3 linked regions of the Mytilus edulis genome follow. The protein of the gene in region 1 binds, or shares a complex with, the protein of each later gene. Links are inferred from orthologs where the notes say so. Each region holds a gene or a part of one and is shown in the gene's direction. Other genes may lie near its edges. The genes, in order: cleavage and polyadenylation specificity factor subunit 3-like, cleavage and polyadenylation specificity factor subunit 2-like and cleavage and polyadenylation specificity factor subunit 4-like.

What was found.
Region 2: cleavage and polyadenylation specificity factor subunit 3-like (region 1) and cleavage and polyadenylation specificity factor subunit 2-like share a complex: the UniProt entries of both Drosophila melanogaster proteins name them as parts of the cleavage and polyadenylation specificity factor (CPSF) complex. The link is inferred for Mytilus edulis from reciprocal best matches to the Drosophila melanogaster genes Cpsf73 and Cpsf100.
Region 3: cleavage and polyadenylation specificity factor subunit 3-like (region 1) and cleavage and polyadenylation specificity factor subunit 4-like share a complex: the UniProt entries of both Drosophila melanogaster proteins name them as parts of the cleavage and polyadenylation specificity factor (CPSF) complex. The link is inferred for Mytilus edulis from reciprocal best matches to the Drosophila melanogaster genes Cpsf73 and Clp.

Annotation. Positions count from the first base shown.
Region 1 is NC_092350.1:41,933,010-41,943,950, forward strand, and holds the start of cleavage and polyadenylation specificity factor subunit 3-like, read left to right. Parts: upstream 1-6,307; 5' UTR 6,308-6,347; coding exon 6,348-6,418; intron 6,419-7,211; coding exon 7,212-7,275; intron 7,276-8,059; coding exon 8,060-8,157; intron 8,158-9,262; coding exon 9,263-9,391; intron 9,392-9,858; coding exon 9,859-9,943; intron 9,944-10,941. Other genes in the region: peptide chain release factor 1-like, mitochondrial, read right to left, coding at 809-885, 1,389-1,890. UniProt on the Drosophila melanogaster protein: Component of the cleavage and polyadenylation specificity factor (CPSF) complex that plays a key role in pre-mRNA 3'-end formation, recognizing the AAUAAA signal sequence and interacting with poly(A) polymerase and other factors to bring about cleavage and poly(A) addition.
Region 2 is NC_092346.1:19,601,082-19,611,017, reverse strand, and holds the start of cleavage and polyadenylation specificity factor subunit 2-like, read left to right. Parts: upstream 1-5,009; 5' UTR 5,010-5,125; intron 5,126-8,562; 5' UTR 8,563-8,621; coding exon 8,622-8,770; intron 8,771-9,661; coding exon 9,662-9,821; intron 9,822-9,936. Other genes in the region: uncharacterized protein, read right to left, coding at 3,280-3,339, 4,761-4,859. UniProt on the Drosophila melanogaster protein: Component of the cleavage and polyadenylation specificity factor (CPSF) complex that plays a key role in pre-mRNA 3'-end formation, recognizing the AAUAAA signal sequence and interacting with poly(A) polymerase and other factors to bring about cleavage and poly(A) addition.
Region 3 is NC_092352.1:24,768,388-24,778,706, forward strand, and holds the start of cleavage and polyadenylation specificity factor subunit 4-like, read left to right. Parts: upstream 1-6,164; 5' UTR 6,165-6,242; coding exon 6,243-6,345; intron 6,346-10,174; coding exon 10,175-10,319. Other genes in the region: uncharacterized protein, read right to left, coding at 3,491-3,580, 3,958-4,031, 5,880-5,941. UniProt on the Drosophila melanogaster protein: Component of the cleavage and polyadenylation specificity factor (CPSF) complex that plays a key role in pre-mRNA 3'-end formation, recognizing the AAUAAA signal sequence and interacting with poly(A) polymerase and other factors to bring about cleavage and poly(A) addition.

The DNA of each region.
Region 1 (10,941 bases):
TGCAAGCAATAAGACAGCATCCATCATGTTCTGATAATAATGATAATTGGGATATATCCATTGCAACAATATATGTTTTACAGTCCAATTTTAAATTATAGTATTCTGACTTTCAAAAACGACTTTACATTTTATTTATTTCAAAATGAGAGTAATTCAAAAGGACAAATTGTCTTGTATCAATAATTACATTACTCTCCAACAAATTATTAATGAATCAAACTGAATGTGTCATTTTAATTAATTTAAATTAAAATTCTTGCATCAGAAAACATCCTCCACATGCTTAAATTCATGTATCTCAAATTAGAGTATTTAGTTCAAAGTAACTTTCAGCTGTCTAAAAAACAAAAAAAAAAATTAAAATGTGTGTTCAATGTATATATGTATGTCATGTATGTGTATGTCATGTATGTGTGTTCAATGTATATGTATGTCATGTATGTGTATGTCATGTATGTGTGTTCAATGTATATGTATGTCATGTATGTGTATGTCATGTATGTGTGTTCAATGTATATGTATGTCATGTATGTGTATGTCATGTATGTGTATGTCATGTATGTGTATGTCATGTATGTGTATGTCATGTATGTGTATGTCATGTATGTCATGTATGTCATGTATGTCATGTATGTGTATGTCATGTATGTGTATGTCATGTCATGTGTAATGTGCTACTAAACAATAATGATCTTTGAAATTGGAGTTTTTTGGGGGGAGAATATAGGTTTAACTTTTCTAAGATGTGGATTAGACATGTCTGATATGTTTTATAAACATTCATCTTTGATGATTAGCCACTAACCTGTTGTTTCATGTCGTCTATCTGTTGGTTTATTGACTCAAGTTCAGCCTCTGCCATTGTCTTCATTTCTTCATCTTCTGAATAACAAAATTTCTGAAAGTTAATGGTTTAAAAGCATACATTTTATACATAAAAAATACATGGACATCTATGAAGGTCTATCATCTCATGGTAATATATTCACTGAAATTCAATTGTTGAATGGATGTCAATCAATAATATATATTTGACCAAATTTATGAAGATGCTTGTTTCTATTAATATTTTAGGACAGGGTTTAAAAAGAAATACTGTAAAAGCAGAAATTTTCGTGGAGGATTTAATTTCGTTTATTTCGTGGAAATAATATATCCACGAAATTAAAACCCCCACGAAAATTTAACTTCCATATAAAACCACTTTCAGTTTAAGGAAACCACGAAATTAAATCCCCATGAAATCTTACAGAGAGACAAAACCACGAAATTTTAACCCCACGAAAATTAATGTTTCTACAGTATTGTTATTTCTTCTTTTGATAATGAAAAGGTAATACATTTGTAAAACATGACAAATCTGTATAAGACATAAATAAGCTTACCTTCAATAAGAAGTTGTATTTCCTCTAATTCATTATATTTTTCTTTCATTCCACTATAAACGTCCACAATTGGTTCTAAAAATACTCTTCTAGAACCCATTTCCTTTGTTTTCTTTCCTGTTTGGTATAAATCGAAAATATCATTATATTCCTTATTCAAACTGTCCAAATATTTTATCAATAGGCCATCATCTACATTTTGTAAAGAGGCATATTCCCGTGTAAAAATAAAAAGTCCATTTCTCATACAACACTCCTGTAATGGTCTACAATGTCTCCCTAAATTTAAGATAGTTTCTACACCAACAAGTGTCTGAAGAGTTCGACATCTAACAGTTAATTGGGACAATAGTAATCCTTTCTTGGTCTGTAACATACCACATGGCTCTCTGACAGCACTGAGCATGTGTGAGTATTTACACCAAGTCATAACTGGATTCCATTTTTGTTTTATTCTGTACAAATTCTTTCCAAAACAATAGTTTATTCTCTGCATTACCATTGTATACAAAAAGGTTTCCTAAAATCTTCAATCAATTACTACTGTGTACTTTTTCCCTGAAATCTTCAATCAATAACCATGATAACTAATGTAGTTTGCCACTAAGATCTTCCATCAATTACTATTGTACTTTTTACTAAGAATATAAATCTGAAAAGAGAGGTGAAATATATATGAAGTATTATTTAACAATACTTGAGAAGGTATGCTTGTCAACAAAAAAATCTACTCTGTCAACATGTTCAATTTAATTTGAACACTTTGGAAGATAGATTCATGCTGTACAGACATTAACAATGATTGTGGTGTTCTTATCTGTTCAACATGTTCAACACATGCAAACTTGAGAAATATATTGTGATGTGACTTTTCAAATGTGCCTAAGCCAATGCAAATGTACAATTCTTTACAATACATGGAACAGTCAGGGGACTTACTTAAATAAGTGATTATCTAAATCACTGATTTAAGTAACATTATTTCCATAAAGGTTGGAAGTTAGAGTTGTCTTTCTTTAATAATCACCTATTTAAGTAGTACAAATTAATCACTAGAAGAAGTGATTTAATTTTATTGTAGCTTTAAATATAGAATACTAATGATCCAGGGACTAATTATGTTTACTTAACTTTAATTTAATTTAATTAACTTATCAGAACCAACATCTGTGTTGTCTAGGATGACCAGGTCATTTCAGGTGATGACCTTGTACTGAATCTAGGATAATGACATAAAAATCACTTGTTTAAGTATCAGACCTCAATTTCCTTCCCAAAAATCACTTCTTTAAGTATCATTCTTTTAATAATCCTTACTAATTTCAACACCCCTGAACAGTGAGATTTTTATCGCGAACAGTAGAATTTTATTACATAATCTGAAAGATGAAACCTTGAACTTCACAGGAAAAATACTCCCACTGCTGGGAAAAATCTTTTAAGAAAGTATCAGTTCATTATGTAAAGCCATTATTATAGCATTTTTTCAACTAAAATAGAATTTTCAGCTAAATGATAGCATCAAAGGCAGAAACCTTTCTACTTAAAAGAAGCAAAAAGTTTTGTTTTTTTTAATTTTACTAATTAAAAGATATTATTTAAACCTATGTGTTTAAAATTTGGAAAAAAATACAAAATTCCAATTTGTGACAAAAAAACGATTTTGCTACTCAAATAAGTGATTTAAAAATCACCTATTTCAGTAAGTCCCCTGACTGTGGAAGGTACCAGAAAAGAGTACTAGTACTGTGAAGTGCCTAATTACAGATCCTAACAGAGATGACCACTTTCATGTTTTGCAAATATTGACAGTCAAAATTCGCCAAAAAAGAAGGGTGCAGATGGCGCCCAAGAAGAGTCATATGTGTAAGTTTGCTCTGTTAGCAACTGATCTACTACTGCTCAGATAAGTGGGTGCTTTTTTCAATTAAATCACAGTTAGTGGCAAAAAGTAAAGAACTTTGGTCTTGTGGCAAGACAACCAGTTAAAATGATAATCAGCAAAATCATGGCCACAGAGTCCTTTCACCACCAAACACCACTGTATACCGCTGAACACCCCAAAAAAACAACACTGACCACAGTGATACTATACAATAAAACGATAAAATAAATTAAATAGCATATTATTAAATCAATTTTTAGATTTTTATGTGCATCATTGTTATGTCAAAGTCGATAATCAATAAATCAATATAGAGTTAATTGTCCCCAGATTCATCCCTTTATCCAGATTACATTGTGTGTGTATATGTATATATATATTAAACATTTCAAATAAAATTCAAACATATTCGTAATAAGTAATCAGTTCAAGTATCCTTGATTTCTCTTCATCAGTCATGTCAGTTAGATTTTGATATATATATATATATGATAAATGTCTCTTCTTAAAAGAGGGGCAAAAGATACCACAGGCCTCTACAATAACTTTTTTTTTCAACTACCAAAACTTACTTGTCCGAATGAAATTGTTACTTGTCCAATTTTTTTTTTTACTGTAAAATAATCTTTTTACATCTTCAGTTGATTAAAGGAACAAAACGAATTGAAACAATAGAACAGAATTTGATGGGTTTTTTTTAAAATAATTTTCAAAAATATGAGTCAAGTACAACTGAATCAATTCATGTCACAGGACTTAGGTTATAGTTCTCATCAATGCTAGTCTCATCAGACTCTGCACATGAGGCACCATCTGATAGGCCTGTACACTCATTTGACATTTGTATCCTATATTTTTCTAAGTAGAAAAAAGTGTATTCAAATACAATCAATAAAAAGAAGATAAGGTCTGACTGCCAATGAGAAAACTCTCAGCAAGAGACCAAATGACACAGAAATTTACAACTATAGGTCACTATATTGCAAGTATTGTTTTTTTTCTACTTATGATCAAATATGATTTTGTTAATTTTATGGTAAATAAAAAAAATATTTTTGTAAAAAAATGTTCATCAAAGTTGAATAATTAAAACTTTTTTTCTGCAAAATAATTGAACCTGTCCCGACGGACAAGCTTGATACAGCTTTTACTTGTCCGACCTTTTTTCCCTCTGGTATCGGACAAGCGTTATTGTCGAGGCCTGTACCAGAGGCACAATCAAACTCAGAAATCGAAAATAAACTGACACAATGACGGACAACTCCATGGCTAAAAAAGAAAAAGACAAACAGACAAATAATAGTACAAGATAGTATTAATATTCATGATATAGGTACAAATATTTTAAAGATGAAAAAAAACAAGAAAAAAAAACATATTTGAGGTGTCCAGTGACTGTGTTTGATGTAGATATTTGGTCTGTTAATCTTATTATTTGTTGAATTTATAACTTAAATATTATATTTAGGTCACATTTATAACGATAAAAGATAACTAAAAAAAATGGGGGTTTTCGCTGGTGTTCCACTGTGTGTGGTGGTGTTTGGTGGTGAAAAGACCTAGAAAGGGTGCCTACTAATTGCTGTTGTGTGCCCAACTTTTCGTCTTTTGAAAACATCCCATGGAACTCAGAGACTCAGCAGTTGATATGCTGGACTGAGGGATTTCTTGAGTTACGTAGAATTAAATTCTTTGGATGGGTTGTTCTCTCCCCAGATGTGGAGATGTTGTGAAAGCTAATATATGAACAACCAAACAAACATCAGTGTCCACCTGTCCACAGAAAAAGTATATTTCCTGAGAATGATCTTCATTTACTATTTTTGATTTTCACTTATTGTTTTTACATATCACAATGAAAATAATAAATAAATCAATCATGTCAATAGAAAAAGAAAACACAGTTAAAAGGAAATGAAGATCACGAAATATATGCTTCATAAATACAGAATAATTCTGTCTAGCAGTAATGAATCACTATATATAATAGCACTAAACCATCTGACTAGACTATTGAACTGTCAGACCATTGAATCATTTGACTATTTGACCGTCAGATTACCACTATGGCTAGTCAAAATAATTATGACGACTTGAAAGGCTTTTTAACCCTCTTGCTGCCAACCGTTTTTCAAGGTTGCATTTCATATGCAAGAGAATACGACAGCTACGTCTGTGACCTAACATGCCAAACAACGTCATTCGATATATGACGTCACGACATAATGACCGTTACATTTGGGACCAATTGGAGAAAATCATGACACTGTTTAATCTTCGGTTTTTTAATTCCAAGAGATACAGCATTGATTGAGAAACTTGCATAAATTTTACCATGGACATATGTGTCCCTCCGGCAGCAAGAGGGATTTGTGGCGCCTTCCTAACTATAAATTATTTAGACTACACAACAGCCCCTACAATGGATCTGTAGCCGAGTATGCTAAATTTTTTCTGCGGCTTTGATGGAGAAACATTTGTTTGCCACAATTTCTTTTCATTCAGTTTTTTAGTTTTACCAAGGTTACATGTATTTATGTTCGTGCCTCAGCTGTAACCAGGCCAGGATAATTGTTTTTCAAAATCCTCCGAATACCTCTTCCCAAGAAAATCAAATGGTAATCCCCTAAGAAGACTAGAGATATGAAAATTTATGAACAAGATAATAATTTGTATTTGACCCAAATACTTAATCCTAAGATATATAGATCCTTACTATTAATCCCCTAAGAAGACTAGAGATATAAAATGAACAAGATTGTATTTGACCCAAATACTTAATCCTAAGATATGATCAGATATATAGATCCTTACTATAATTTTCGGCATATTTTTTCATCATGGGCGCAGACATCTTGAATTTTACAAATGCAGATTTTTAAAAGAAACGAAACTATTTAAAAATGAGGTATTATTAAACAAAACAAATAAATTAAATAGATATTTCATATAAAAATATATGAATTTGCAATGAAATAAAGTTATTTTTGTGTTATTTTATGAAAATGTATGACATTTTACAGTATTTATGTAAGTTCTGTTTGTCATATTAAGAAGTAACAATCAGAAAAAAAATGGCTTCTAATGAAACAACAGAGGGCCAAGTTCCTATAGAAGAAAGTGATCAGTTGATAATAAAACCATTGTTAGCATATATTTTCACTCATAAATAATAACTATAGATTCTTAGCTTGTTCGTCCTTTCATATAAAGTATTATTAACTGTGCCTACACACACACAAACAAAAAACCAATCAAACATTGTGATTTTTTTTTTTTACAAATATCACTTTCTACCTACCATGAATACATGTATATGGTCAGATCATATGGTTTCGTACGTCAAACGAATTTGTACTATGCATGTTTTTTTAATGGAAATTGTGACGTCACAATGCATTCTTAATAGCATGAAAACCCATGAGACAAGACTATCGTTAATTAGATTTATATAATTTTGCGAAATAGGGCGCCCAAATTAAATAATTACAACATAACTGTGTCATTATATCAAAGGTACCGATGATGGCTTTAACTTGTGTGGAAAGAAAGCACCTACTGACATCGTTGAACTTGAAGAACTGTTGGTTCCAATAGACGTACCTTTATATCACAATCTGGATATCTACACAGCTTGACCAAGGAATCTTTGCTTTTAATTTATGCAAATAATAGGACTGCTTGAGTACCGCATGCCTAAAAAAGAACTCTAAATTTGATATCTGATACATACATGACATACATCTTTATGCAGATTTTTCTCGAAATCGCAAAAATTAGTCTCACATTTTTGTCCATTCTTCTAAAAATGCAATGATAAAACATGGATAATGCCCGCAAAAATTTCTGAATTTATAGTAGTCATGCTGGTTTAGAATTATCTCTATTTAAAATTTATTATATATCATATTTCTCTCATTGATTAATATTTATTTCAGAGGTTCTGGTCAAGAAGTAGGTAGATCATGTCACATACTGGAATTCAAAGGAAAGAAAATTATGGTAAATATTCAGTAACAGGTGTTAACTTTCCAGAACCTAGTTTTTTCTTGGGACATTTGAGTGATCAAATCTTTCACTATCATGACTATTTAGGGAAAAGAAATCACAATTTATACACCTTTCATAATAATCATGATAATGTGACCATAAAAAGTTGTATGTCATTTAAAAATGTAATAATTTCTTAAGCAAGTAAGATCAAATATCAAAATCACATTTGTGTGCTTAAGCAAATATTAGTTGGTTGCAATTGACATGGGTTAATCAATTTAACAAGAGTGTGACGAAATACAGAAAAATCTTCATCATGGTAATACACATAGATGACCTTATCATGCTTATCCGGTTGATCCAAGAAAGTAAACAACACCTTTGATTAATTCACTTTTTTGTAAATGTACATTTTAATTACATTAAAGGTGCATAAAATACCTCAGCTAGCTCAGAGAAAGAGATTAAATCAGTTTCAAGTAGGAGTCATGAAATATGTTCCAAAACAGGCAGATTTTTTGGTTTGCATATTTATCAAATATATATCACCTTGTGAATAAAATCTCAGTATATTTGGAGAATATTACGGTACCTAAAAGAAAACTCTTCAAAGGACTCAATTTCAAACACATCTGTTTTACTATTTAAATTATGACTAACCACAAACTAAATTTTTCAATTTACAGAAGTTAACTCTCCATGCAACCAACATGTACAATTGGCAATTAAAATGAAGTTTATGATTGTAAGAGTACATTTATATTGTTAAAACGCCATTTTTTCTGTATTGTAGTTGGACTGTGGCATTCACCCAGGACTTCATGGAGTTGCTTCCCTTCCATACCTAGATTGTGTAGATGTTGAAGACATAGATCTGTTGCTGATCAGTCAGTGAGTGTTAAATTGAAAGCAAAAAATTTAAATACATTTTAAAAAATTTCATTTATCTTGCAGTGATTATAGTTTGGCAGTGCCGTACAGGAATAAAATTGAGAATGGAAATGGGGAATGTGCCAAAGAGACAACAACCTGACCATAGCGCAGACAACAGCAGAAGGTCACCAACAGGTCTTCAATGCAACGAGAAATTCTCGCACCCGGAGCCATCCTTCAGCTGGCCCCTAAACAAATATATTCTGGTTCAGTGATAATGAACAAATTGTACACAAGAAACTAAAAGTTAAAATAATACAAGACTAACAAAGGCCAGAAGCTCCTGACTTGGGACAGGCACAAAAATGCGGCGGGGTTAAACATGTTTGTGAGATCTCAACCCTCCCCCTATACCTCTAGCCAATGCAGAAAAGTAAACGCATAACAATACGTACATTAAAATTCAGCTCAAGAGAAGTCCAAGTCTGATGTCAGAAGATGTAACCAAAGAAAATAAACAAAATGACAATAATACATACGGTAAATAACATCAGACTGCTAGCAGTTAACTGACATGCCAGCTGCGGACTTCAATTAAAATGATTGAAAAATTATGTCTTCATCATATGAATATCTGGCACAATCCTCCCCGTGAGGTGTTTAGTATCATACCATCACAATAATCGAATGAAACATGGTTGAACTAAAACAGATAAGATAGAGAATAGGGAATGTGTCAAAGAAACAACACCCTGACCAAAGAGCAAAAAACAGCTGAAGGCCACCAATGGGTCTTCAACACAACTAGAAAATACCACACCAAAAACCTGCTTCAGCTGGCCCCTAAACAAAGATGTGTACTAGTTCAGTGATATTGGAGGCCATACTAAACTCCAAAACATATAATTGAACTAAAATCAAGACTTAACAAAGGCCAGGGGCTCCTGACTTGGGACAAGTGCAAAAATGTTGCAGAGCCTGGGTTATACATGTTTTGTGAGATCTCAACTCTATACTTCTGGCAAATGTGGAATAAAACAGATCTGTTAAGTATATTAGTTTCTATAGCGAGATTTAGTTTTTGTTTAGTACTATATAGTTCTATGTTCTTTATATTTTACAGCTTTCATTTAGATCATTGTGGAGCATTGCCATATTTCTTAGAGAAAACAGCATTCAAAGGACGGTGTTTCATGACCCATGCAACAAAAGCTATTTATAGATGGCTTTTGTCAGATTACGTCAAAGTCAGGTACATTAATATAGCAGTCCAACTGATTTTAATGTCACCCTTATCAGTGACACTTACATTAAGAAAGTAAAGTAACAATAAATACTGCATGAAGTTATAACTGTATTAAATGATAAGGTTGCTTTACTTTCCAAAACTTATATTCATCATCAGTTTGAATTAATTTTATACTGATAAGGATTTCAATAGATGGACATCAGCAAGGTTTCTAGAGGAAAATGTTGTTGAAATCATAGTTGATTTCTGTTTGATGGACATAAAATAGTCATATGGTCACTGCCCTCATTTTTTGGTAAAAAATGTCAATAATCTACTTTTTACAGCTAATAAATTGATGAAGTTACACTTATTTCCTGTTTTGTGATATGATACTTCACATTGATATTCTGATATTATCATCAAACAGTGTGTCTTAACATGCTTATAGACTTATACATTGATATTTTCATTTGTTTTGTATTTTGCAGTAATATATCGTCAGAATATCAGCTGTATGCAGACAGTGATATAGAGAAAAGTATGGACAAAATTGAGACTTTAAATTTTCATCAGGTAAGACAAAAATAATGGTTATGTTTTTAACCCAACCATTAAGTCTATGTCATTACTCTAGATTTTAAAATATGAGAGAAATCTAAATTATTAAAACATTATATGAGTACATGACTAACAGAAAGTATAAAATACCATTTTAATTATCTACCACCAGCTTGTAATTCTTTCTGAGAAGAAGAAAAATGATACTGATGCCTACAACCTAAATGCAGGATAATAGACAAGGAATCCTGATTTCCTTGGAGATTGTTTAAAGAACGTCTGAACCCCTTTATTTAAGGGTAACAGATAAGTCTGAGTCAGTGTTCTCCCCAGGCCGTTTTAGCGACGCTATATTTTTTCACCGGGATGCTATGATAATTCCTGCGACACTATAATTATTTTGAAGATGCTATCTTTAATACTTGTCCTCAATTTTGAACTTTCATCTATTATCGATTATGATCATAAAAATTATATCACCTTTAATTGTAATCCCTTTAAGTCGGACACTTAAGGCAATTAAGAGATTAAATAGCTAGGTGTTAATTGCCCTCCGGGTGATAACTGTTTGAATGCGAATGTCCCAAGCTGACACTTGTGGCATGACTAATACCACGTGTCTGCAATCACCAATTTCGACATGGAAAAATGCAATCACAAAACAATTTGAAATCTATGTTTTGTATTACGAAATTTCAAAGATTGAAACGATTTTTATTTTTTTTAAAAGATCGTTTATTTGTGCAACTCTTCAAAATTACTTTTTTTTCTCTACCGGTAATACGAGAGCGAGAATTTTGGTTTGGAGCTAAAATGAGTTTAATACTTCTTTAAAAAGTTATCATAATTGGCTTATGTTTATGTTTAATCCATTTAATGCATTAAAAGCGTCTTATTCATTCACAATCTCTTGTCAAACATTGTTTATTCTCGGACTCATTTTCGTCAATTTTTCTACGGCCGCCATTGCACATTTTTGTGTAAACCACGGATGGGAACCGGACCAGATATGA
Region 2 (9,936 bases), on another chromosome or scaffold:
TTTCTTTATGGCATTGAAAAAAAATCAATTACATGGTCCAATATAAACTGAATACATAGCAATAAATCACAACCATACAACCTAATACATAAACTTGCACAAATTATAGTTGTAAACATGTAAACAATACCAAACATACAGTTATCCTTGGAAAATATATACTATTTAAACTGCTTTTATTATGGGTTTAAACATTTGTGGCTAGTAGGAGAGTTTATGATTTTTTGGATTTTTCAATTTGTGTAGTTTAGATGCTTCTTACATATATATCAAAAGAATATTTTAATTTCCTTGAGTATTATGTATACAGACATGGACATTTTCCAATATGAGATATTTCCCTTATCTTGATATCACATGGAAATTGAAATGCTTAAAAATATATCCATCGCACATATAGTTTATACAAATTAATAACAACACTGATGTAATTAAAAGGCACAATTTTTGTTTGATAAAATTTGCATTTATGATTAATTGTGAAAACTGACCAAAAAAATACCAGCACTTTCATAGTCAATTGATTATTTTCTTGCTTCATTTATTATAAACACAAATCTCCTTTAAACTGCAACATTTAAGCCTGAGGCATGCTTCATGTGGTTTACTTTTTTGATAGGCAGTTTAATTAAACTAATCTATGCATAGTTACATATTATCAACAGGTAAATTTGTCATTAACCCTTTCCTCCATAATGACGCCTTTTGACGCCACCCCCTTTACTCCATAATGACGCCTTTGGACCCCTGTATAGTGCCTCAGTTGAAATGTATTACCTAGGATAAAACTTCATCAGACTTAAAAAAAAATGTAACTAATATAAAAAGGATATTCATGAGAACATCTGACTGGAATTTTATTGATGAAAAATTTGTTTTCACAATGCATTAATACTTTAAACCTGATGATTATCACGATTATTTTTCATTGAAAAAATCTTGTGCAAATCAAGTATGTAAAAAAAAAAAGCCAAGGAGGATAGCTCCTCCTAGCATCAAAATAATACAATGGTATAATAAAAATATAACATGTAATTTAAGGTTTTCACATGGTATACAGTTACTTATAAATGTGTAAAAATGTGTGTATACTATATGTATATATTGGGTCTTTAAAGACTCTCATAAATCTTTTTTAAGATTGGCACATACATTGTAAATTTTTTAATGTTTTAAGTCTATTTATGTGAATCTCATTTTATGTTTGTATGTGGTGAGACTATAATAAAATATTGAATTTGAATCTACTTCTTGTCTGTTATAATCCATTTAATAATTGGACAATTGAGTTTTCATTCCTTTGCACTTGTTGAAAGAATACATAAGAAATGCATGTCCACAGTGAATCAGTTATATTGTTACATATGGTACATGTATAAGAAAAACATGAAAGCAAGAAACCTAAAAACACAAGTCCACTAAACAAATACATTGTTTAAAACCACAAAACATTGATGTTTTGGGTTATTTGTGTGTTGTAAATACAACTTCAGAGTTTAGTATAATGTCCATTATCACTTAACTAGTATACAATGTACATATTTGTTTAGGGGCCAGCTAAAGAACGCCTCCAAGTGCAGCAATTTTTCGCTACATTGAAGATCCATTGGTTGGGTTGTTGTCGCTTTGACACATTCCCCATTTCCATTCTCAATTTTATTCATTAATTTATAGAAGATGTTTGGGTTAAAAAGGAGCATACATCATATTACATGTACATTCTGTAGTACAATATTAGACAATTGTATTGTGATAGAAAAAGTCACTCATCATCCCCTTAATATAAATTAGATTATAAATACTTTAAGAAATCTCTAAAATATGTAAACACTTTTCAATACAAACATAAAGAGAGAACAACTAAGAAATACATTTTTGGAGAATGCAAAAGATAGCTTCATTGCATTTAACATGATTAAACAACAGCAAAGAAGAAAACAACAATATATTTCCATTAGACACCATATATATCCTGCACTCACTATCACATTTCTGTATTCAGGGAACTGATGAAATCTGGCTCAAAACCCTCATTTGCCAGATTATTTTGTTAAAATATGCACATCATACATGTAAGGCCATGTGTGATTCCAGTTACTCTACTTAACATACCAGAAATATTGTACTTGATCTGAATATTGTGGTATGAATAAGCATTGTTTAGAAGTTTTATAACATTTAATAAGTGGGCAAACTTTGATAAGCGACCCCTATGTTTTTGTTTTAATAATGAGGGGCCTGATGGGTTATTTTCGTTCTTCTTGATCGGTGCATTTTCGCTATTGTGATCCGTTATTTTTTATATTTTCGTGATCCTTGATCATGGAAATTTATTTTCTGCAAATTGTGATAGACAAAAAAATCAACTAGTGAATTGTGATGAGACTGCCCCATCAAACCCCTCAATAATAGCCCACCCTTAAATTTTTTGGTCATTTTTCATTAAGCACTGTTAAAGTCAAAATGTTGAATGTTTTTGCTGAATGTAAAAAAATATCCCTACCCCCTAACCTTACTTTTTTTTTTATATGTATTTGGCCTAATGAGCAAAGGTATTAATTAATTTTCATGAACATAAATGTGTGACCACAACTTCAAGGTAAATTTCTATTTTTTCTGTTTGGTTCTGATGTTGTGCTTTAAAACTATCTACTGCCCAAGGTTAAACATCACCACATTCTGTCCTAAGCCTTAAAAAGTTTACATAATAAAGAACAAGTATGTATAGTTGTTAACTTCTGTGTCATTTGGCCTCTTGTGGAGATTTTGTCTCATTTGCAATTATACCACATCTTCTTTTTATATATATATATAGGCGATTTGGTGTCACAATATCACAGTAGCATGGGTTCGAATCCCGGCGAGGGAAGAATCAAAAATTTGCGAAAGCAAATTTACAGATCTAACATTGTTGGGTTGATGTTTAGACGAGTTGTATATACATTATGTACACAGCCATGTATCACCATCATTGATGGCGATTCGATGGATACATCTGTTGTAGAGTTGTCACTGACTCAGACGTACTTATATATATATATATAGTTGACTTCAGTGTCATTCGGTCTCTTGTGCAGAGTTGTCTCATTGGCAATCGTATCACATCTTCTTATTTTTATGTTTCAAGAGGATATGACCACAACTTTATATTAGCTTAGTTAACATGATACAGGATTAAAAATGGGACACAGAACAGAAAAGATTAGTATATCCATCCATTGAAGTGGGGCAAAAAGCAAAACAAAAAATGAATTTACATAATATGAAATGTTGACATACCTTAGTACTTCTCACTGATCTTAAAAAGGTTACTGCATCTATCTTGATCTCATTGGACTGCTATTAAAGAAAAAAATATATGCATTTATTTTTCATTATCTCTTCTATTCATATACATTTAAAAAATGTTTCATATCCCACTAAATTGGCTCACTAAGAGTATACATGTATTACAATTTCCTGTATTATCACATGTAACTGATTGATGTTTTTTATTTTTATAAACCTATGGTCAATTTTATCTGTTCTTCATTGGTTCAGCTGAAACATTTTGTCAAATGACCACTGTTTCCTGCAGCTGGATAATTGTGATAATCCATTGGATAAATGATACATTAATAGACATGAAGTAGAGAGAGAGATAGAGATTTTTTTATTTGATTCAATTGTTATTGCTTAAAAAAATAACAACATCTTTAAGGTTTAAGGTCATGTTTTATATTGAAATTTTTGCAAAACATTAAGAAATAATTTCTAATTACACATGCATCAATTTAAGGATTTATTATCTAAATCAAATTTACTGTTTAAACTTTAATATGACCAAGGGCCAATTTATTAAGAAACTGAATCGACTGTTACATACATGTACATGTACATGTATAAAGTAAATTCGTGAAAAAATACCTTAATGTAGTTTGAAGAGAAGGGTTCAGTAACTTTCAATATATATACACGAGTTGATCAAATTGCAATTGTATGCTTAAATTAAATGAATGATTATACCATTTTGGTAAATAACTGACTTAATTTTAAGTAATATATTGTTTACGTCCGATTACAATGAATTTCATAATAACCCACTTGGAAGATTGAAACATGCTGGAATTAAATAATCAAACAAAAGTGATTTAAAATGTATTATTTAACATGCTGGAATTGAACAAAACTAATTTAAAAAGTATTATTCATCAAATTTGAATATGAAAAAGGTTCATATTGCCCATACACACAATTTTAGATTGCTTTCATTGCAATGATTATGAGAATGTAATCAAAATGTAATCAGATTCTTGGGTGATTAATGATTACAATTACCACAAGCCTGGTATAAAGTTATATGAGATTAGGGAGGTTCCTCATTTCTGTTTTTCTTTCATAGTTTATAGTTTTTTTTTATTCTTCAGTCAGTTATTTTCATTTTTTTTCAATTTATGATTTTAGACACCATAACTCTTTATTATGTTTATTATTTATGACCATTTCTCTCTATAGATTTATTTAGCTGAGGGCTCATTTTCTATTAACCCCTTACCAGAACCTCTTACATCATGTACATGTAAATGATGTATGACACAAAAACAATCAATGGAAAAATAAACAAGATAAACAGATAAAGCTGCCTCAATACTTTCAAAACATCTCTAACTGATCAGTCTTAATCATACCTATAGTATAGAACTGGCATGACAATGAATTTGATTTAAAACTATCCAAACGTCACAATTGTCATAACTTATTTATTTTTTACAGAAACTCACTTGTTGCTGATGTTGTTTATCAGATGAAAACTTCAGAAAGAGAATCAAAACTACACAAGTTAGTATTGCAAAAGCTGAGACTAAGAATAGATACATCATTCATCACTTTCATATTTGAAGACGCCAAATTAAAACCAGATTATGAAAAGAAACTTTCATATCCATCTAAAAATTACTTCATACAAGTGATCATAAGTTCTGCATCAGTAACAAAGTTCAACCGGAAATGACTTAACTGAAGTTAGCTCCCTTTTTAATGTAAAGTTTACATCCGGTGTAAATCCAAACCAACGTGAGCTCTTGGCCGCCTAAACAAAGTGTTTTCTATTCACTTTGCAATTGTTTCAAAGCTAGAATTAGATGAGGTGAAATCAATTATTGTAATAAACAGTACTAGTTTCATCCACACAATACTAGATATACACAATGGTCCCATAAAAGCTAATCAACTAACCGGCACAAACCAGACAACAAGTCAACATACACTGACATAGGGGCCGAGTTCACTTGAAACTCTACAATCAACTTCAGAGTTAATAGATTATCACGTGAACGCACTAGAGTTGATATTCGGAACAACTCTAAGTCACTCTAGGGTAATGCCCTGACCAAGCATAAAAAATAAAATATTCTCATTGGTTTGACGTCATTCAAGAGTTTCTCGAGTTTAACCCTGGCTCGGTGAGGGTTGGAACTAGAGTACGAGGGGTTAACTCGAGTGATTCAAGTAAAATCGTATTGTTAACTCGAGAGTTTCAAGTGAACTCCGCCAGGTAGTCCATATAATTATGACGTCTTGAAAGGCTAATATTTTTTCTTTCTTTGACGCCTTACATCAACATTGTTATTCAGACTAACAGCACCTCAGATTCTGGCGTAGTACTAGTCGGCAAATGTCAATTCGGCTCCTATTTAAAGTCATTTTCAAATATTTTGGCATCTTGCTTGTAAAAATTGGGTATAATTTAAAAAAAAAAGTATTAATTATAAACAATAAGCATGAATGCATGATAAAACACTTTTATCCTACATACATATACGGTAAGCACAAGATCTAATGAGAAAACAGTAAGCACATCTGTTATCATGCAAAACATAAATATTGGTACCAAGCACAGCAAATTTAAGAAATTATTGATGCATTGCAAGCTATTCTTTATTGTAGTTTTAAAATGGGTAGGCATTATATTCGTGATTATATTTCCCCGAGCGATAGTAAGGGCTAAAATAACAGGAACATATGCCACAGCAAATTTAAGAAATAATTGATGCATTGCAAGCTATTCTTTATTGTAGTTTTATTGTAGTTGTAGCATCGGAACTAAACACATTTATTTCTTAAAAAAAAAACAGTTGTTGGCATGACACGGGTTATGTTCTTCTCATATATTTTATGATAGTATGATACTAAACCCCTAACGGGAGGGATTGTACCTGATATTCATATGATGAAGACATAATCTTTCAATCAGTTTAATTGAGGTCTGGAGCTGGCATGTCAGTTAACTGCTAGTAGTCTGTTGTTATTTATGTATTATTGTCATTTTATTTATTTTCTTTTGTTACATCTTTTGACATCAGACTCGGACTTCTCTTGAACTGAATTTTAATGTGCGTATTGTTATTCTTTTACTTTTCTACATTGGCTAGAGGTATAGGGGGAGGGTTGAGATCTCATAAACATGTTTAACCCCGCCGCAATTTTGCGCCTGTCCCAAGTCAGGAGCCTCTGGCCTTTGTTAGTCTTGTATGATTTTAAATTTTAGTTTCTTGTGTATAATTCGGAGTTTAGTATGACGTCCATTATCACTGTACTATTATGCATATTTTAGGGGCCAGCTGAAGGACACCTACGGGTGCGGGAATTCTCGCTACATTGAAGACCCATTGGTTACCTTCGGCTGTTGTTTGCTCTATGGTCGGGTGGTTGTCGCTTTGACATATTCACCATTTCCTTTCTCAATTTTATTAAAATGGGTAGGCATTATATATTCGTGATTATATTTCCCCAAGCCATATATAGTAATGGCTAAAATAACAGGAAAATATGCCACAGCAAATTTAAGAAATAATTGATGCATTGCAAGCTATTCTTTATTGTAGTTTTAAAATGGGTAGGCATTATATTCATGATTATATTTCCCCGAGCAATAGTAAGGGCTAAAATAACGAACATAATGCCAGTCACCTGAAGATTTCATAATTATAACGAAAAAATGGGGGAAATAAAATAACACGAATATAATACCTACCCATGTTAAAACTACAATAAAGTATTGCTTGCATCAATTATTTCGATTCTGATTAGGACAATGAAGGTATTATCTATATCCGATGTATATAAGTGTACAGTGTTTGTGTATATATCTCTTCCATGAAGTTGAACCTCCCTTTTTTGTTTGTAAAAAAGCAAACGACTGGCAATGTGAATTTTCAGAGGGAGGAGTTTGAACAGCCAGCATGAATGGCTGTCGTATCTTGCTCAAATATGTCAATTTCCATTTGCAAATTACAGTCATAATAAATGAATTAGTAACAACATGTGCATCATTTAAGAGTTCAGAGTTGTTTTAAGTTAATGAATTATATTAAATGCATGCCAATTTGATAAAAATCATTATTCTGCAGTAGTCAATATACGCATGACCATGTGCAAACAAATTTTATTAGAGCATGGGTTTATTCACAAAGCAAAAGAAGCACGTCATATTAGAAGAGCAATTAATGTGTCTGATCTGTGTGTCTTTTTCAAACGATAAATATGTTTATATTAATGTACAGTTGTCACAAAATGGAAGTTCCATAGGTACTAAAAGTTATAGTTTAAGGCACTTTGGGACAGTAGAATTATTTTAGTATTATATGAACACAAATATACTCTAGAAATAACTTGTTTAAATTTGCTTTTTACTATCCAAAGCACTTGGTGATATTCTCTTATTCTCTTTTTGATATATCAGCCTTCTTTTACTTTAGACAAAATGTTAGACAACCCATAAAGAGCTATATGTACTAAACTATTCTTAACCCCTAACCTTACCCTAACCCATACCGTAAACCCAAAACTAGCCCTAACCCTAAAAGCTAACCCTAACCTTAAATTAAATATCCTCTAACCATACCATAACCAGGAATTAACTGGTACCTTTACTCTAGGTATAGGGACCCTTAAAGTAAGAGAAGGCTGATATATCAGTGATGCAAAAATAATTGAATTGAAATTAAATTTAAAAAAAAAGACTAAAACACGTTTGTGATATTTTGAAAAGAAATGGTGTGACTGTGTCAGTTGTGTCATTTGGTTATGACATTTACATATGTACAGACTAAGTACTGTATTCTATTGGCTCTCAGTTTGTATTTAAAATCCAAACTTGTTGAGATATATATTTAAGTTAAAAAATGTCGTGTTAAAAATAAAATGTTATTGGAAGTTTTTAGGACTACTACCAATTAACAAATGATTAATGAAAAAAAACCTGAGTTATGACTTATGTCCAAATATTTTCTGCAATGTAAGAACATCAACCTTAGTAATTGGTTAAAGGAAATGTAAGAGTTATGTTTTCATCATTAAGACAGCAACCCATAAACAATATATAAAAGGTTGTCTTAGCTTTATCATTGTTATGATGACAATGGGACCTGTCAAAGGATATTTTCTTCCAGTGAACAAATAAATTGAAACAAACAAAATGTGCTGATTTTATTTCAAGTTCAACTTGCCACAGGACGCTAAGCAACCAACAATCAATTTATCATTGTAACAGATTTTCTAATAAAGATGTACAATCTCTTTCAGATGTAAAGATGCAAGATTAATTTAGACCATATAAACTTTCAACAAGAACAGGAGTCAACATGACATCTATTATTAGACTTCAGCCTCTGTCTGGAGCTCATGACGAATCTCCTCCATGTTACATTCTGCAGGTGGATGAATTCCATTTCCTTCTTGATTGTGGCTGGGATGAAGACTTTAATATGGATTTTATAAAACAGTTGAAAAGGTTAGAATCATCAAAATACAGAAATTTATAGATGCATGGGCAATAAAAAGGATTATGTTTGTTTCCCCTAACCCTACATATACCTACCAAGAAAATAACTGCCTACTCCAAACCTTTTATTGTCTTGATGTGATAAACTGTTTTATTTATTAGATTGACATGAAGACCTAAAAACATCTGACACTTCAATTTTTCTTTGCAAAAAAAAGAAAGAAGGAAAATGCATACATACATACATTTGCCTTCCTACTTTGGGTAGGGTTTGGGCAAACCAAAATATTATAAGTGTGGCCTTGCTGCCTTCAGTTTTGTTTGTTTTATGATGATACTAGCAATAAAAAAACGGTTTATAAGTTTCATGTGTTCAAAGCTCTTTTCGGGATTTACCATCATCAGGAATGGTCAAAGCTGAATATTTAAAAGCCAAGGATGTATAAAAAAATGTTTATATGACCAAAAAGGGCCTGAACAATAGCCAGATTCATCAAAGGTCAACTTAACATATGCATGCAATTATTATTGTTAAGAAACTTGTAAAAATAATAGGCAACAGAAAAATTGCATTGGTTGCAATGAGATACAGTGATTTCTCAGTAAAATCAAAACTGATATTTTCTCATGTAAAATAAATCTGATAATTTCAGTCTTCTGACTCATACAATGATATGTGTTGTCGAGACATTATTTATGATTTTGCATTGAACCACAACCAGAACACATAAAAAATATACAGTCCCTTGCATGTTCTATTTTATTTCTATTAAATACATATAGTCCATGGTCATTAACAATGGAATAACCATAAATTTATTGTAAAACTTTTATACTTTTGATTGTGTACTTGAATATTTTAATTTAAGTTTAAATTGGGAATTGTTTTGATGATTTCAGACACATGCATCAGATAGATGCAGTTTTACTGAGTTACCCAGACCATGCCCACCTTGGTGCATTACCTTATATGGTAGGAAAGGCGGGATTAAGTTGTCCAATATATGCCACAGTACCAGTATATAAAATGGGACAAATGTTTATGTATGATCTCTATCAGGTAAGCAAAATAAAATTGAGAATGGAAATGGACAATATGTCAGAGAGACAACAACCCAACCAAAGAGCAGTAACAGCTGAATTCCACTAATGTTTTTTTTTTATTAAGTTTGTGT
Region 3 (10,319 bases), on another chromosome or scaffold:
TTCTATACAACATATATAGTTGACCCATTACTTATAGTTTAAGAAAAATAGCCCAAAACACAAAACCTAACACTGTGCAATGAACCGTGAAAATGAGGTCAAGGTCAAATAAAACCTGGGCAACTGACATAAAGATCATAAAATATTTCCATACACCAAATATAGTTGACCTATGGCATATAGTATTAGATAAAAAGACCAGAACTCAAAAACTTAACTTTGACCACAGAACCATGAAAATGAGGTCAAGGTCACATGACATCTGCCCACTAGGCATGTACACCTTACAATCATTCCATACAACAAATATAGATTAGACCTATTGCATATAGTATGAGAAAAACAGACCAAAACACAAAAATTTAACTATAACCACTAAACCATGAAAATGAGGTCAAGGTCAGATGACACCTGCCAATTTGACATGTACACCTTACAGTCCTTCCATACACCGAATATACTAGCCCTATTGCTTATAGTATCTGAGATATGGACTTGACCACCAAAACTTAACCTTGTTCACTGATCCATGAAATGAGGTCCATGAAAACTGTCTGACAGACATAAGGACCTTGCAAGGTACGCACATATCAAATATAGTTATCCTATTACTTATAATAAGAGAGAATTCAACATTACAAAAAATTTGAACTTTTTTTCCAAGTGGTCACTGAACCATGAAAATGAGGTCAAGGACATTGGACATGTGACTGACGGAAACTTTTTAACATGAAGCATCTGTATACAAAGTATGAAGCATCCAGGTCTTCCACCTTCTAAAATATAAAGCTTTTAAGAAGTGAGCTAACGCCACCGCCGCCGTTTCACTATCCCTATGTCGAGCTTTCTGCAACAAAAGTTGCAGGCTCGACAAAAATCTCTTTTTTCATGTTTATCATAAAAAGTTTTGATATTTTCTATTGCAACCAAAAACTGTAGATCTCAAATAATGAAATATACAGAAAGCTCTGTTAATTTCTTTAAGTACCCATGCCATATCAACTTCCAAGGGCCTGTGAATTAGTATTTTTCTATTGGTTCAGGTGACAGGTCCTTCATATTTGTTTTCACTAAATTAACACACAAGTTTTCTAGTTTGAATTGTTCTACATGTTTCATATTGGGGCCTTTTATAGCTTTCTACACGTATATGGTACAATTATTTTTCATTATTGACGACCGTATGGTGGCCTAGAGTTATTAATACATTTTCCTCCTTTGAACTCTTTTGGATAGCATTGGTTCTTTGCAAAAAATACTGCATTCTTTTTTATAAATAGGACAGTTACAGTAACTTAAATCAATACAACTGTAATGAACGTGAATTTATATTAAAGGCTTTTATCAAAAGAAGGAAACATGTCCATGGGACACAAATGATGCCCCCACTAGCATTAACGTTATAAAGGGTCACAACTCAAGAACTGTAAATGCGATGCTACCAAAATTTGTACTTGATCTGAGTTATGGGGTAATAAGCATTGTGTATACATTCTAATTACACAGTATTGTGCAATAGATTTGTAAGATCTAGACTTTTGTTTCATGTCAGAAACCTATATACTATGTCAAAAATTTGAACACAATCCAAATTCAGAGCTGTATCAAGCTTGAATGTTGTGTCCATACTTGCCCCAACTGTTCAGGGTTTTGACCTCTGCGGTCGTATAAAGCTGTGCCCTGTGGAGCATCTGATTCCAATTGTAACGAGGCACAACCCTAGAGCATTAAAAATGACTTCACAAAAATTCAAACTTGATCTTGGTTTTATGGTTAAAAGTATTGTGTATAAGTTTCATAACATTTGGTTGAGCGAACTAAGGTTAGATAACTGAAATGAAAATATTCAGCAATTTTTACATATGTAAAGGGGCATAACTCTAAAACCGTATAACTATCGCAACCAAAATTCAAACTTGATCAGTGTTTGTGGTAATGAGCATTGTGTATAAGTTTCATAACATTTGGTTAAGACAAACTAAAGTTAGAGAACAGAAACTAAAATTTCCAGCAACTTTTCTATTTGTAAAGTAGCATAAAACACTAGAATGGTAAAAGTGACGCAACTAAAATTCAAACTTGACTAGTAAATTGTGGTTATAAGCATTGCGTATAAGTTTCATACAATTTGGTTCAGACAAACTAAAGTAAAAGAACAGAAAGTTCAAACGAATTTTGGGATGTACGGAGGTATATACAAGTAAGGTTTTGTTTTAAGCCATTCATTTGATATATTAGAGTAATCATTGCCTCTGTGTTTGGATGACAAAGCAATTGAATTCTATTTATATAGGGCATGTTATGCCTTAAAACTTTTCCAGATGCACAGGTTTGTCTGTAATCTATCTAAATTTTGAGGTGAAAATGCAGCCATTTTAGCGAAAAGGTACACATCATTAACCTTAATAATTTCTACAGCACTTGTCTTGATACCCTGAGCTATAATATTCTAAAAAGTTACTGTAGATGCTGACCCGGTTGCTTTTAATACAGATGCTATATGATAAGAATTTGTGATAATACACCAGAGGTGGTATGATGTAAATTATTGGAAGGAGACTGAAGAAGAATTGATGTTGGGTCAATGTTTTTTCTGCTGTTAGTTTGATCCACTTGAGCATGCTGAACGAGTGAAGGTACTTATATCCACATTGGAATGTGAAACAATTAGTATTTAAATAAAGAAATTAAAAGTTTTCAAATGATTTTTGGCATCAAAACCTTCTGATCGATGTTTAGACAAAAACAATGCCCTTTTTTTTATCAAAGCCTTTACTCGTCCTTGGCCTGAGACATTAGACATTTAAATTATCGAGTATTTTATATCTGTGTTTTGTTTAAACAAACGATTATCACTTGTCAATTATCTGACAGCTTGGTCAAAATGTCAACTTGTTCTTGCATCAGTCATTCCCAATTCTTTCGATACACTCGGGCTTTTACCACGTTTACTTACAAATAGTAAAAGTAGAGCGGGAAAATGTCCATTCATGAAATATTCATGAATGAAAACGCAATCTCACGTAGATTTCTTTTGATTTTCTCTTCAGCACATGGCAGATCCGCGAAGTAGTGTTTGTGATACTCATTTTCAAAATGAAGTTAAATTCATCTGAATCGTCGGTGAACATTCATTTCTTTTTTATTCAAGCTGTAATCTTTGCAGTCAAGAGAGTAGTTACTCAGAATTTCAAAAGAATCTTCAAAGATTAAGAATTCAAACACTAGTACTACATTATCTCGGAGCAGAATGAATTGAGATATTCTGTAACCAGAAGTTTGAGGCCGACGCCTAAGCAAAGTCGCAATAGCAAGCTATAGCAAACTTTCCAAAAATGGATCATTTGTAGAAAACCATTCATATATACAATTCCTGAAACATTTGTAAATGATGACCAAGCATTTTAAGAGCTGAAAATTTTCCATAACATTAAGCTTGCAACATGACAACAATTATTAAAACAAAGGGTTATAAAATATAGACACTTACCTTGAGATTTATAAAGGTCAAAAGGACAATCTATATACTGCTTCTTTATCAAATATTCAGGATCATCTCTTATACCAGAATTGTAAATAACTAGAAAAAATAATTATTTTACATTCTATACATAAAAATTAGATAAAAAGAGATGGTACATGTGGGCATACCTCAATAAACCCAACTGACCAAACAAACAAATTATTATCGTACAGTATAACTGTAATACCAACATTTCTTTCTTACAGGTTTCTCCACAATAAGTCCTTCACTCTTCATTTAAATGTTCAGTAAACAGTTCTTGTGCACTTAATCTGAATATTTCCAATATCTAACCACATGCTGTACAATGTTTCAATCGTTGTCAATCATTTCAATCACATGCACATATACAGTTCTATTATAAAATACTTTAAAATCAGTTTGCTTGAAAACTTCATGTGTATCATATATATATATATGACTAATATACTTACAATGTTCATAACCTTCAAATCTGACACAAACTCCAGTCCCTGCTGTAGGGTTAGCAATGTTCAAGTATACCACTCTGAAATGTATTAAAAAAGTAATTCACTTAATCTATTCATATTTACATGTACAGATAAGGGGTCACTAACATACAAATTATTACCTAATTATATAAATTAAATTTAAAGTGTTGTTTTTCATGGTGGTGTAATGTATATGACATGTCTGGCAGTAAAAAATTAAAAATATTCAATGTCGTAGTCCATATTATTAACCCTTGCATTTAGGGAATGTGTATGTACCACCCCAATGCATTGTTCTTGAGAGCTACAATAGTGTTCCCTTCTTTCAGAGATTATACTAGGATGATTTTTTTTTCTCGTGTGTCTTTCTTGCAAATATATGGGGTTCCAAACTATGACAAACATGAAAAAGAGTGGACTTTGAAATGAAACCAGAGTAATTGCAAGAAATATGATACATGATATACATGATATATGAAATCATGGAAACTCTAACTAATTTAGAGAAAACTCAGACATGTGAGTGAGTGAGTTTTGAAGAAAACTTGTAACAGTACATGTACTAAGAAAGACAAATCTGACCAAGTGATGCATATTTTTGACATTAAATAAAAATGGCTGAGCAGCACATGAACAGGTAAGATTGATTAAATTCATTCTTACGTCTTTCATCAAATACACTTTGAATAATTTAAGAATAAGACTATTTATTATTCCAATCTAGGGCCCTTGATGGGCAGCATGACATGAACACATAAAACAATACATCATGATTTGTAATAGAAAACATTTTTTTATATATATATATATTGAAATCTTTATCTTCAGACATTGTCAGACAGATGTTTTTATCTCCATTCTATAAAAATCCCATAAATTTAATTCCTGGCAGGCCAAGAGATGGTTTCACAAAAAACTTACGACTAAGATTTATTGTAAGTCATTTGTAAGTATATACTGAAATTGAATTGTTTAGACTTATCATGCTTATGATCATGATGATCAATCTTAATTGTAAGTTTTTTTGCGAAACCAAATCCAGAACCATTAAATCATAAAATATGTTTGTTATTTGCCACGTTGTAGTGGTATTGTTGTTCCAAATATAGAAACCGGAAAACATGACAAAATTTATTCATCCGCAATGGAAACCTATGAACATAATGAAATGAATGATCCAAAAACAGAATATTCATCATGTTGAATGAATATGATGAAAGGCAGTATTTCAAAATTTGGCAGAAGAAATATATATATATATGACGTACAAAAACATATGACATGACAATGAAGTTACCAACCTAGACTGAACATCAGTTATTTACATATCCGATGGATAAATCTGTTGTACATGTTGTAGAGTTGTCACTGGTTCAGACGTACTTATAAATATAATTATTTTGTGACTTTATCTTGCATTAATTTGTAGGATCCTTTACAAAAGATGTGATTTTTTTCGGGTTTCGTATGAATTATATAGTAAACCCAGCAAATTGTAACAAACCCTGTGTATCATGTACTATATTACAAAGCTAAATTAAAACTGACGAGGAAAGGTAACACCCAGCCACCGAAAGCTTTATTTTAAAGCCATGGTGGTCTAGTGGTCTAGTGGTCTAGCGCATTGGATACAGTGCAGGCGATTTGGTGTCACGATATCTGAGTAGCACGAGTTTAATTCCTGGCGAGGGAAGAACAAAAAATTTGGGAAAGCAAATTTACAGACCTAAAATTGTTGGGCGGACATTTAGATGAGTTGTATATGTATATATATAGAGAGATAGAGAAGGGAAAACTCAGTGTCAGTCACTCTGTGAACATGGTGAAGTTTTATGACAAGCAAATTGTCAAATGATAATTGTGATCTGTCCTCTTCTTCTTAAAAAAGAGACATGTTTAATTACCCAAATATTTCTTCTCCAGGTTCATATGCACTTTTATGAGTTCTTAAGATGATTTGATTCATTTCATCCCATTTTTAACAATGAGAGAAAAGTTGACATCAAGTTCATGAAGTAATAAAAAAAGTGGAAAATCCCTTTCTGTTACTTTCTTTAATCTACTGTGTAAGCAACAAAAACTAGTTTCTTGCAAGGAACCAGTAACCGCAAAATTTAATCTCTCCGATTTGTTTTTGTGATTTAAAATGATACTCCCATCAAGCTCATGTAAAAAGCGCTTGAAAGATTTCAAAGATCAAAAAATAAAATCAACGTCAAAAAGACGCAATTTTTATTTTGAGTTGGTCTTACTTGAAAACACTAAAAATGCAAGACGTTGTAGCTCCCGTAACATACATACAGTTTGACATAACTGCATCTTTAGAAATGCAGCTTGGAGCTCTTCCCCTCCCATTTCCAGGGATGGACAGTAAGTTATTAGTTATGTTTTCAGTGGGTTATGGCTTATCCCAAGTTATGGGCCATAAATTTATTTAACTTATGCTACAGCATGTACTAGGTGTACAAGCCTAGTTCAAATAATTAGTCTTCCAATATTTCATAATAATTTAGAAGAGTCGAACCGCTCCTTTCCTATAGTCTACTGTACATGTCACATGATTCTGTACGTGCTCTCATTTGTCATTAGAAACATATGAGAAAATAATAATATTCTCAGATCTGCAGTGACATCACAACATGTAACTGACCAATCAATGATTAGCATTTTTGTTATGTAAACAATGTTGAGAGGTGATGCGGATAAGATTCCTCTAGATTTTCCATAGACTTATTGCAAATTAATTTAATTGATATATATCGTAACCAGTTGAATATAGTAATTTTACTCTTTTAATACTGTTAAAGACACTATATAATATCTCTATTTTGATTTTTAACATACTATAACCTCTCGTTAAAAAATTATCGGCAATATAAATAATCAGTTATCCCCTTCAAATAGATGAAAAATCTAGAGGATTCCGGATGGCATCACCTCCTGACAAATGTAAATGCCAGGATGTCCGGATCTGAGAATTCTGGGGTCTCACTAATTAGCGACAACAAGCGTCAAGAAGCGACAACAAGCGTCAACAAGCGACAAGAAGCGACAACAAGCGACAAGAAGACTATTTAGTGAAAAGAAAACATTTTTTTTATTAGATATAAAGAAATTTGTATTTAATGGTTTTTTTTTTAAATATACGAGCAGATATGTCTAATTAAAATGTTTTATTATATAGATAGACAAAGAAAGGAAACATTTGTGAGGAAGAAAGAGATTGTGAAGTTTATATTAGTATATTGGTAGATGAAGAAATTAAACATTTGTGAAGAAGAAAGAGATTGAGCTTCTTTTTTATATTTTTAAATATGAAGAATATGTATAAGATAATGTATGTATCTGTTTTCATCAAAGTCAAAGTATGAATAAAGGAATGGAGATATATATGGAGCGGGCATAATGGAATATAATATTTTGATTCATTTGCTTAATACTATGCTCTAAGTGTACTCTTGTTATGTCAATTCGATGCTTTTTTTGTAGAACTCTCAGCCACACTTTGCCATCTTTATTATTTAAGCGTGTTTCCAGACCCCACGACGAGGACGTGGTTCTACCTTGGGGTCCATATGATTTTTTTTTTTTTACAATAACATCCAATTAACACCTTCAACTTTGTACACGCATCAGACTATACAATTACATGCACCAGAATATACAATCTGACATTGTAAATAGTGAACACCTGTTGAAAACTCAAGATTGTCATTAATTTCCTTTCATCTTCAATCAATATGCATAAACATGATAAATATCTTTTAATGGGGCAATAAGCAAATAAAAAGATGAAATTTTCACATTTCAATTTTCTTTTCCTCTTGTTTGATTTCAGTTCTTTGTATTTCACAATTTGTGTCAATATTTTCAGGACAATGATGCACAAATAATTCATTTTGCGAGCTTAATATATATTGCACGAAAAGAGTTTTAAAAAACAAATTATAAGATAAATAATATGTTCTAAAACACAATAATTAAACGTAATACTGGCTGTTATACATAAAAGATGATAAAATATTATGTAAATAATGTTTCATTTTTTTCTATCAATTTTAACTTTCTTGTCGCTAAAATTATTTTCTTTTGCATATTCTTTTAATATTTATTGCAATGATTAATTTTAATTAAAAAAATATGTTTTCTTGTCGCTAAATAGTTTCTTGTCGCTTGTTGTCGCTAAAATAATTCTTGTTGTCGCTTGTTGATGCTTGTTGTCGCTAAAATTCTTGTTGTCGCTAATTAGTGAGACCGATATTCTGAAAATTATGTACATGTATAAGCGTTACAGACGGTACCTTGAATGACAGAATAACACTGTTAATATCCGAATAACACTTGTAATGACCGAATAACACTTGAAAATGTAATATAAGCACATATTGGTGACTTTTAAACATTGAATATTAATAATAGTTTATTATCATGATTATTGATGTATTTTATAACTTATAAATGATTTACAGAAAGCAGATTAGTTTATTAAAAACTTTTTTAATTTAGTGAGTACATCCAATATGGTGACCACGGAAATCACAATGGCCGCCATGTTCGATGTAAACACTAAATTCAAAATGATCTTTAGGAACTTCTCTGCTGTCAGTAAATCATTTTTAAAGTTACAAAATACATCGATAATATATTATTATTTATTAATCAATGTTTAAAAGTCACCAAATTGTGCTAATATTAAAATTTCAAGTGTTATTCGGTCATCGTGTCATTACAAGCGTTATTGTGATAATAACATTGTTATTCGGTCATTCGTGTTACCCGCATTACAGATACCAATAGTGGCAATACTACATGTAGTTTAAATCCAACAATGAAGAGAGAGCACCATTGATTCATTAATGGTGCGCACTTACAGTTCTGAAGCACTCTATGCTTGCATTACTTGCCATTAGAAAAATAGATAGAAGTACAAAACAGAGAATGTGCCTATAGAGGGTTAGTCCAAGATTACTCTAACGTCCAATGGCTGTTTTGCCAGATAAGCTGGGGCCTTGGGATGTCAGAGCTCGTCCCATATAAAAAATGGATATTTACCATCCAAAATAAGTGTGCTGCTTCGTCGCTTCTGGTACCGACAAACAGCCTTGGAATTACATAAATCGGGTATCAATATGTTCATTTTTCATTTATCTTTGAAATGAAAGTTAAACTGCCAGAATCAATGGGTCACTGTGAAAACTGTCTGAATATGAGAAAATAAAGGGTGGCAGGTAGGTGAATCTTACATAAATGAAGAGATAAATTATCTCCCTTTGCTGCAAAAATGCCAAATTTTGGCATTAAAATTGAAATATCTTTTTTAACTCATCGGTGACCTATATTTTTTATTATTGGTTTCAAATAAGCTGTACATAAACTAAATAATTGTAAAATTTAAGCGATTTCTGTAATTTAGTCCTTTTTTTATTTTGATATTATAACTATTTCTCCTATTAGTTCGTCAACAGAAAAAAGGACATAAACAAAGATGTATGCTTCTTTCGGAGGCAGATTGTGAGCTTAAATGAACGGTGACCCCATTTGTTAATTTCATTATGATAAAAAGTACATTTGTAAAAAAATATAGCGAAATCCTATATTAGAAAAAAAAATTGGATTTATACCCGCAAGCCCCCTTAAAACTGCAAGGACTCTATCATCACTGCAGCACAAATAAAAGAAACATGACAATTTCTTTTTGTTTATGGTTATCTGATCTGACACAAAACCAAATAATAGATTTCACTTAAGGTGGTATGGGTGTCTTTCGCCAAAAACAGAGAACCTTAGGTCCAGATTTTCTATCAAGTTAGCAAAATTAGATGCAGGAATGCAGATATTAAATTTGAATTTTCATTTTAAAGAAACAATTTGTACGAATATAACTTATAAATAGTAATTTTTTTCATGTGTAGATTATATTTGGTCGTTTAAAAAAAATAAAAAAATTGAGGGTATTTTAAGGGGAGGTAACTCTAAAACAGTGAATTTCAGATTTGTGCACAAACATGACAAAACAAAATGTTATTTTTCTCTAATAACGTTATAGAGTTATATCCTTCACTGTTTTATGATATGACTTTACTTCATACACATATGGAAATAAAATTATATTCTGTCATGTTTGTTGTGTAAATTCCAATGACATTTCATCCTGATTCTACTATAACCATGATAACTGAATTATCTTTATTTTATTTAGAATCTGGAGCAGCTATCTGTACATACTATTTAAGTAATGTTTGTAGTAAAGGTGCTGCTTGTCCATTCCGCCATGTTAAAGGAGACAGAACAGTTGTATGTAAACATTGGTTACGAGGTCTATGTAAGAAAGGAGACGATTGTGA